Drosophila melanogaster: one gene and its partner. The protein of the gene in region 1 purifies or fractionates together with the protein of each later gene. This does not show direct contact. Each region holds a gene or a part of one and is shown on either strand. Other genes may lie near its edges.

Region 1 (3,811 bases):
CCGTCCTCTTCGGTTAGGTCAATTTCAGATAACTCGGCGGTGGACCTAGCCTCTGAGCTGCGAACCGCCTTGAGGGCCTCCTTGCCACTTATCTCGCGGCAATTGAGCTGGTTAAAACGGTAGCTAAGGCAAAAGCCCTTCTTCTGCACCAGGTTGTAAGACTTACTGCCACAGCTTATTACTACCACCTTGCCATCCTTGGTCTGGCTTATACGGCCAAATTCCCAAGTCTTCGACAGAAGGTCGCTATTCTGGTCTTTTAAAAGTTGAAACGTGACCTTATCGGGCTCATCAGCTGAACGTGGTACTCTGACTGTGATTCCCTTTGTGGCCGGAATATCATCCTCCGGACAACAAATTAGTTTAGTTTCCGGTAACGCCGTGATCTTGGAAATCGCATGCTCCAGCCATTGGCGGGAGTTCTTGTCCATGCAGACAACTTGGATCATTCCAGTAAGAAATTGAATGCCCCCAAAATTGATGCTGGACTTCCAACCCTTTTTCAACTCCTCCACAAGGCCGGCTTCGATCTCATGCAATTGCTGATTAGTCAGCTCGCAATCCGGATAAGTTTCCGCCATTATTGCCATGGTAATACTATTCTGTTTCGAGGTCCATGACGGCTCTGGGACCCTCTGCTTCTTTACATCCTCATGGGCTCTACCGCCCGACGAGTTATCATCATTCGCACGCTTGCGAACGCGATCATCCGAAATCGGCTGCTCCGGACGCCTGCGTCCGCGGTCAGCCGAAACTGACTTGTCGTACCACTCAGAACGTACCGGACTGGTGCGTCTTTCCGAGGCCTTCATAAGGGCCTTTTCATTGCTGATGCCCGTGTCCAGATAGCGAAAGAACCACTTGCGCTTGGCGGGGCCAAGGAGCGATAGCTCCTTGCGAATGTGTTCCGGCAGTCCCCTTTCACCCGATGTCACCTGCATGGATGAGTTCGGAGTGGGCCAATGGCTCCCGTCGGAAGGGCCGCCGTTGCCGGGCCACGAGCGATTGATGGTGTTGCCTGGCTCAGCTTGATACGAGGGGTCGCGACGCATTTCGTTGTTCCAGTTGACTCTTTCGCGGCTCCAGTTAGAGTTGGCCTGCGGGGCAGCAGGGGATTGGTGGTAGTCAGAGGACATGGAGGGGAACGACCAGGAGGCAGAGCCGTTCAAAGTTTGACCCATTTGGGTCTGATTTGGGATCTGTGATTGGCCCAATTGGCCGAAAAAGCCGTCATAGCCGCGATAAGGGCCATAGTTGGCGGAACTATTGCCATTCATGGGAGCGCGGGCATTGAGCCATTCCCGTTCCTGGCGGTAGGTGGCCTCCATTTTCTAATTATTCTAGTTAGTTCTAATACTCACACAAAATGTTAACTGCACTTGTCGACGTTTGCTGCAAAAGTGAGGAATTAGGTGTAATTCATCCGCTGAGTTAGAGACAGCAAATCCTGGCCTGCTTTGCGTGACACGGGAGCCTAGTGTCAAATTTAAGTTTAGTATTGCCAGCGCGCTTTCTTGCCAATCATTTATTATAGTTGACTAGATTGGGCAATAATCTGGTATATTTTTCAACCGTCTTTTTTTTAAATTAACAATTCTGTTAGTGCACACACTGAGTTTATAAGTTTGTCACGATAGTTCACTGTGCCATCTCTATGTTTTCAAGGCAACAGTAGTGTTGGCAAATGTAATGAGAACTCCGTGTTGGTCCTCAAACATTTTGAATAAAACGAAATATATGTACATACTATGTACATGCACTTTTAGCCACCAGTTGCGCTCTTAATGGCTCCGAACGATGCAGTTGCGGAGCACGCGGAGGAGCAGCCAAAGATTTCCACATTTGCCGTTCTGGACCTAGAGACCACCAACTTGCCTGCCTACAGGAACAACCGAGTGAGCATTACGGAGTTGTGCATTTACGCCTTTGAAGCCGCGCTCCTTAAGAAGAAAAAGAAGGAGCAGGACCAGGATGAGCAGCAGGAGCTGCCAGCGGCACCGCGGGTGCTGCACAAATTGAATGTGCTCTTCCAGCCGTCCATGGTAGTGGACCCGGAAGCGGAGAGAATAACAGGTTAGCTGCAAAATGCACCCGTGAGTCATTCACATAATGATTTTATCACCCAATAGGTCTGAGCAACTACTTGCTGGAGCGGGAGTCCCAGCTAGACACGGATGCCGCGCAACTCATCGTCAGTTTTCTAAAGCACTTGCCGAGTCCGGTTTGCCTGGTGGCTCACAATGGTTGGGGCTTCGATTTTCCCATTCTGAGGCAGGCATTTGAGAAACTAAACATAGAGCTTCCCCAATCCCTGACTTGTGTTGACTCACTGCGCGCCTTCATGGAGATTGACGACACACAACAAAAAGAAACCAGTCAGTTGAAAGTACCCAACGATGTGCAGGAAATCATTCCGGAGCTGAAACCCAAACAGAATACTGAAACTTGCCTCAAGGAGCCAGAAGCGGTCGTGAACATCGATTGGCGAACCAGAAACGAAACCACTCCAAATCGTCCAATTTTAAAGCCTACAGAGGCATTCGCCAAGCGTAAGTTATTACGCGACGGCGATGAGGATGACTTGGAGGAGCAGACCCCTCCCAAGCGGAAACCCGATGAGTTTAGGTCACGACGCCAGCTGTTCAGTGGATGCAAGTGTGCCGAGAACAAACGCTATCCCCCCCGCGGAGTTTATAATTTGGAAAGTCTCTACACGAGAATATTTAAGATACCAGCACTTAGTGCTCACCAGGCAGAGGCTGATGTAGTCATGACCACAAAACTGATACAGCATTACGGCATTGATTTCCTGGCCTTCGCCGAGGAGCAGGCCATTCCATTCCAGCAAGTGGTGCCACTTGGCTCTCCTGTTTGTCGAAAAAAGAGCGCAATCTAACAAATTCTATTCCAGCATGAACTTCATTTTAAAATGTAATGGATTATTATATTTTTTATAATGTAGGATTTTAATAATTGATTTTTAATGTGTTATTATAAATATTTTTATAATAAGTATATTTGTATAAAAGTGTCCAGTCCAACCAGCTTTCCCGGAGAAAAAAGTTATTCACTTTGAGATACAACATGTTTATTCCTTTTTCCTTTTGAAAACAATTGAGGTTACCACATTGCCCACCTTGCCGCCAAACTTAAAGGTCGGCGTGGGAATGGTATAGTACTTGACAAACTTCTCGGCAAAGCTATCCACCAGCTCGTCCTCGGTCCAATTGCACGACGTGATTACAAACAGGCTGTCAGCAGTTCGCAGCAACTTTTCCACCGTGTCCAGGTAGAGAGCACGTTTCTCCTTGGCATTATCCGGACAAAGACTGACTGCATCGTAGGTTCCCTTGTCGTGCACCACGTCAAATTGGCCCAGCTCGTTCTGCGGCTGGGTTAAGTCCGCCACCTTGTATGTGATGCTCAGCTTGTTATCCTCCGCAATGTTTTGCGCCAGCTCGACGGCTTTGGGAGAGTAGTCCACGCCGGTCAGGTCTCCGGTGAAGCCTTCATTTGCCAGGCCCACTAGGAACATGCCATTGCCGCAGCCCAGGTCCAGCACTCGACTCGCCTCCTTGTCGATCTTCTCCTCGTTAAGCAGCCAGTCGATCGTTCGCCATTGGGCACTTTCGTCAAACCAGATCTCGCCCACGTCGCCGTGGCTCTTGTAGTTTCGTATCTCCCGGTTGTAGCTGGACTCCCAAAATTCCTTGGTGCCAAGTTCCGATCCGTTCAGCTCGCTATCCATTATTTCGTGGTTATTTTGTAATTAATCCGCAGCAATCAAATCAAACGCGGAGGCAAATGTTTT
Region 2 (3,636 bases), about 18 Mb from region 1:
CATGAGTTGAATATTTCGAAATTTCAAATGTTCCCGGCTACTTAGTTGTAAAGTGTGGCCGTTTCTCCTACATCGAAATCGATAGGTTCGAAATGTAAACAAACATGGAAACTGAAACTGAAGCGCAGAAATTGTATTAGCTATGGCCAAAAATGTAAAGAAATTAACGTTGGCCAACAAGTTGGCAAAACGCGGAGATCTTATAAAACCCACGGAAATAAAAAGTCGTCCAAATAGGGCGGATAACGTGAGGGTAGGCGGAAATGCATGATAAACAATGAAATTGATACTCAAGACGCAGTTTCTAAATCTTCCAGGATATAGAGGATCTGGTTGGTGTATCTGCTGGCGCAGCAGGATCGAGTAGCTCAGTGTTCTTCTCCCCCGTGCAAACCCGCAAGCAGCGTCTCTTAAATGGGGAAGCCGTGAAGAAAACTAACATTAAAATGGAGCCCTTGTCTCCAGCTCGAGTGGCACCCAAAAAGTTTAGAAAGGATGATCGCATGGTAACCAGAGTTCAAATGGGTTCGGCTACTGTGGTCATATGCAAGGTGGTCCCTGATGCTGTGGACTCCCCAGTGAGAGTGGATAAGATAAGAGAGGAGGTGGAACCCCAAATAAAACAGGAAGCTCCGGAGGATTCCCCTTCTTTTTCTGAGGTGCAAGCACCACATCCTTTGTGGTTTAACCACCTAGAAAACATTCGCATTATGAGAAACTCCAGAACTGCGCCAGTGGACACCATGGGATGCCACCGATGCGCCGATTTAAAAGCAGACTCGAAGGTATTTCCAATAAGTGGAATTAAGTACATAGAAGAATATGTTACAAGCAAACAACTTCCTTGCAGACCCAGCGCTTCCAAAACTTAGTGGCATTGATGCTGTCCAGTCAAACCAAAGACCAAACTACTTATGAAGCCATGAATCGCCTTAAAGACCGAGGTCTAACTCCACTGAAAGTAAAGGAAATGCCAGTGACTGAACTCGAGAATTTACTGCATCCCGTATCCTTCTACAAGGTTTGGTGGAATTAATAATAAATAAATATATCGCACTTACTCTCGATCTCTTCCAGAACAAAGCTAAATACCTCAAGCAAACCGTGGAGATACTGACGGACAAGTATGGTTCGGACATTCCAGATAATGTCAAGGACCTTGTAGCTCTTCCAGGAGTTGGCCCCAAGATGGCCCATATATGCATGGCAGTGGCCTGGAACAAGATAACCGGAATCGGAGTGGACGTCCACGTCCACCGCCTTTCTAACAGGCTGGGCTGGGTGCCGAAGCCCACCAAGGAGCCCGAGCAAACCCGTGTGGCGTTGGAGAAGTGGCTGCCATTCAGCCTCTGGTCAGAGGTCAATCATTTGTTCGTGGGATTCGGACAAACCATTTGCACCCCAGTGAAGCCAAATTGTGGGGAGTGCCTGAACAAGGACATTTGTCCTTCAGCCCATGCTGAAACTAAAGAAAAAAGGAAGAAAGACCGATAGGAAAGAGGTTCAGCGAACGCTGAAAAAGGTTTTAGGTTTCTAAGTGTTTCTGAAATTATTAGTGCTAAGAAAAATATTGTGTTACCCATAAGAAAATAAATGAATTATTAAGGGGGCTGTAAGTCCTGTAAAAAATAAAAAATTTTGTGGTTTTTCTTTTTTTGTTTTAACTGAAAAAGGTATATTCCCAATTTATTACAATAATTCAGTTTTTCAGGAAAAATATTGAAATATTGACACTACAATATTTCGTATTTCTTATATACTAAATAGATGTTATTCCTACGTGTTCGACCTACGGCCACACTATCAGCTCTACGTTCGCGCGTTTTATTGTTTACCAGCGGCCCTTGTGAAATTATATAGAATACTCAATTACAAATCCCTCAAAAGCCAAGAAAATGAATGATTCATGTAAGTATAGCCCGTAGCTCAGAGAAATTAAGGGAACTAATAACGAAGCTCGTTTTAGTTGGAGATTTCAATGCCACACAAACTGCGCCAACTGGAGCCGCCAGCAATCAAAAGGGAGAAGTAAGTGAGTGAGACGCCAGTAAAGTTGCACAACCTAACATGATTCCGTATGATTGCAACTAGGGAATAGTGCCCCTGGTGGTGAAGCAGATTGTGGACGCCCCAGAGGGAAACATCGAGTTGTTCGGCATGCAGTACGCCATGGCATGTGTTGTGGCCATAGTGCGGAACGTGGAGACTTCCTCGACGAAGATCACCTACACCCTGGAGGATCATAGCGGCAGGATCGATGCGCACTACTGGCTTGAGGAGGGCGACGCTCTCAAGGCACCCGAAGTAATGGTCAACAACTACGTGAAGGTCTACGGCACCACCCGGTCGCAAGGCGGTTCCAAAACCCTAATGATCTTCAAGCTACTGCCCGTTTTGGATCCCAACGAGGTGTGCACCCACCTGCTGGAAGTACTCAATGCCCGCTACAGGGCCGAGGACTACCAGAGCAAGGGTGGAGCTGGAGCTGGTGCAGGGGCTTCTTCCGGCTCAGGCTCCATAGCTGATTTCACCGCCTCCCAGAGCTCGGCCATTGTCAGTGGGCTGGAGCCCAAGCAGCAGGCCGTATTCCAGGCCATCAAGAGCAATGTTTCCGAGGAGGGCATCTCCCGCAAGGAACTGAAAGCCAAATTCTCCCACATCAGCGACTCTGAGTTGACGTAAGTTGTTTATCCAAAACTATTGCATCATTTGATATTCTTTATTAATTAATATTAATTATAACATTTTATTGTTCCTATTTTTACAGCAACATTCTGGACTTTATGATTTCCGAGGGACACATTTATTCCAGCATTGACGCAGATCACTTTATTTGCACAATGTAAATCAAATCGTGTAACCACTATTTAATTTAAAAATGCGTATTGAATATATGTATTAAGTTTTTGAAAAACGGGAACATTTTCCATATATTAGTTGTACATTAAATATTTCTTATATAATCAGAAAGTGATTTTGGGATATTTTTTATTGGGACTGTTGAAAATGTGTATTTGAGGAAATCTTGCTCTTCAAGTTGCCGGTGTATGTGTATATTTACGGCTTATCATATGAAAAGTCTTCGGATTCATAGTCCTAAGGGAATTTAAAATATCTTACAAAAAAGATAGAAAACCTGAAATATTTTAATTATTTTATGTTTAATTAATATTCTTGTTCATTTATAAAATTGTAATGGATTATAAAGTTTTTTTGAATCGTTTCACTTTGCTTCATTTGATAAAAGGATGTGATAAGTTCATACCGCTTTATTTCATTATCAATTTATTTTTTAGATATATAACTAACTAACTTTTAACGCTAGTAAGTTAATTGTTTAATTAGGTAATGCATATTTTGATTGTATATCGGGCATAGTTAGATCGGATTGCAAAAAATTTATAAAATTCATTCAATGCGTTTTATTTCATTAGTTTTTGAATTTATCATAGAAAATTACAAGCTCAGGAATCAAAATCAAAACATAATAGGCATGCAAATCAAAAATTAAGATTAATATTTGTTGTGGGAATTTATAGCGCAAGAGAGCATTCCCCTTGGTCCCCAGGATCTTGCCAGTGAAGTTGAACTGCGCAAGTGTAAGGATTCATTTTGCGGTCGGAGTGGATAGCTAAT

What was found.
Region 2: the proteins of CG3165 (region 1) and RPA2 purify together in Drosophila melanogaster (affinity purification with mass spectrometry, with the first as the bait; one large-scale study listed by BioGRID). This does not show direct contact.

What each region holds. Positions count from the first base shown.
Region 1 is NT_033779.5:2,975,458-2,979,268, forward strand, and holds CG3165 (uncharacterized protein), read left to right. Parts: upstream 1-1,664; 5' UTR 1,665-1,784; coding exon 1,785-2,073; intron 2,074-2,129; coding exon 2,130-2,896; 3' UTR 2,897-3,043; downstream 3,044-3,811. Other genes in the region: CG9641 (uncharacterized protein), read right to left, coding at 1-1,328; CG9643 (uncharacterized protein), read right to left, coding at 3,089-3,748.
Region 2 is NT_033779.5:20,924,306-20,927,941, reverse strand, and holds RPA2 (replication protein A2), read left to right. Parts: upstream 1-1,794; 5' UTR 1,795-1,895; coding exon 1,896-1,908; intron 1,909-1,966; coding exon 1,967-2,028; intron 2,029-2,091; coding exon 2,092-2,678; intron 2,679-2,767; coding exon 2,768-2,846; 3' UTR 2,847-2,967; downstream 2,968-3,636. Other genes in the region: Nthl1 (Nth-like DNA glycosylase 1), read left to right, coding at 143-253, 318-785, 851-1,021, 1,078-1,494.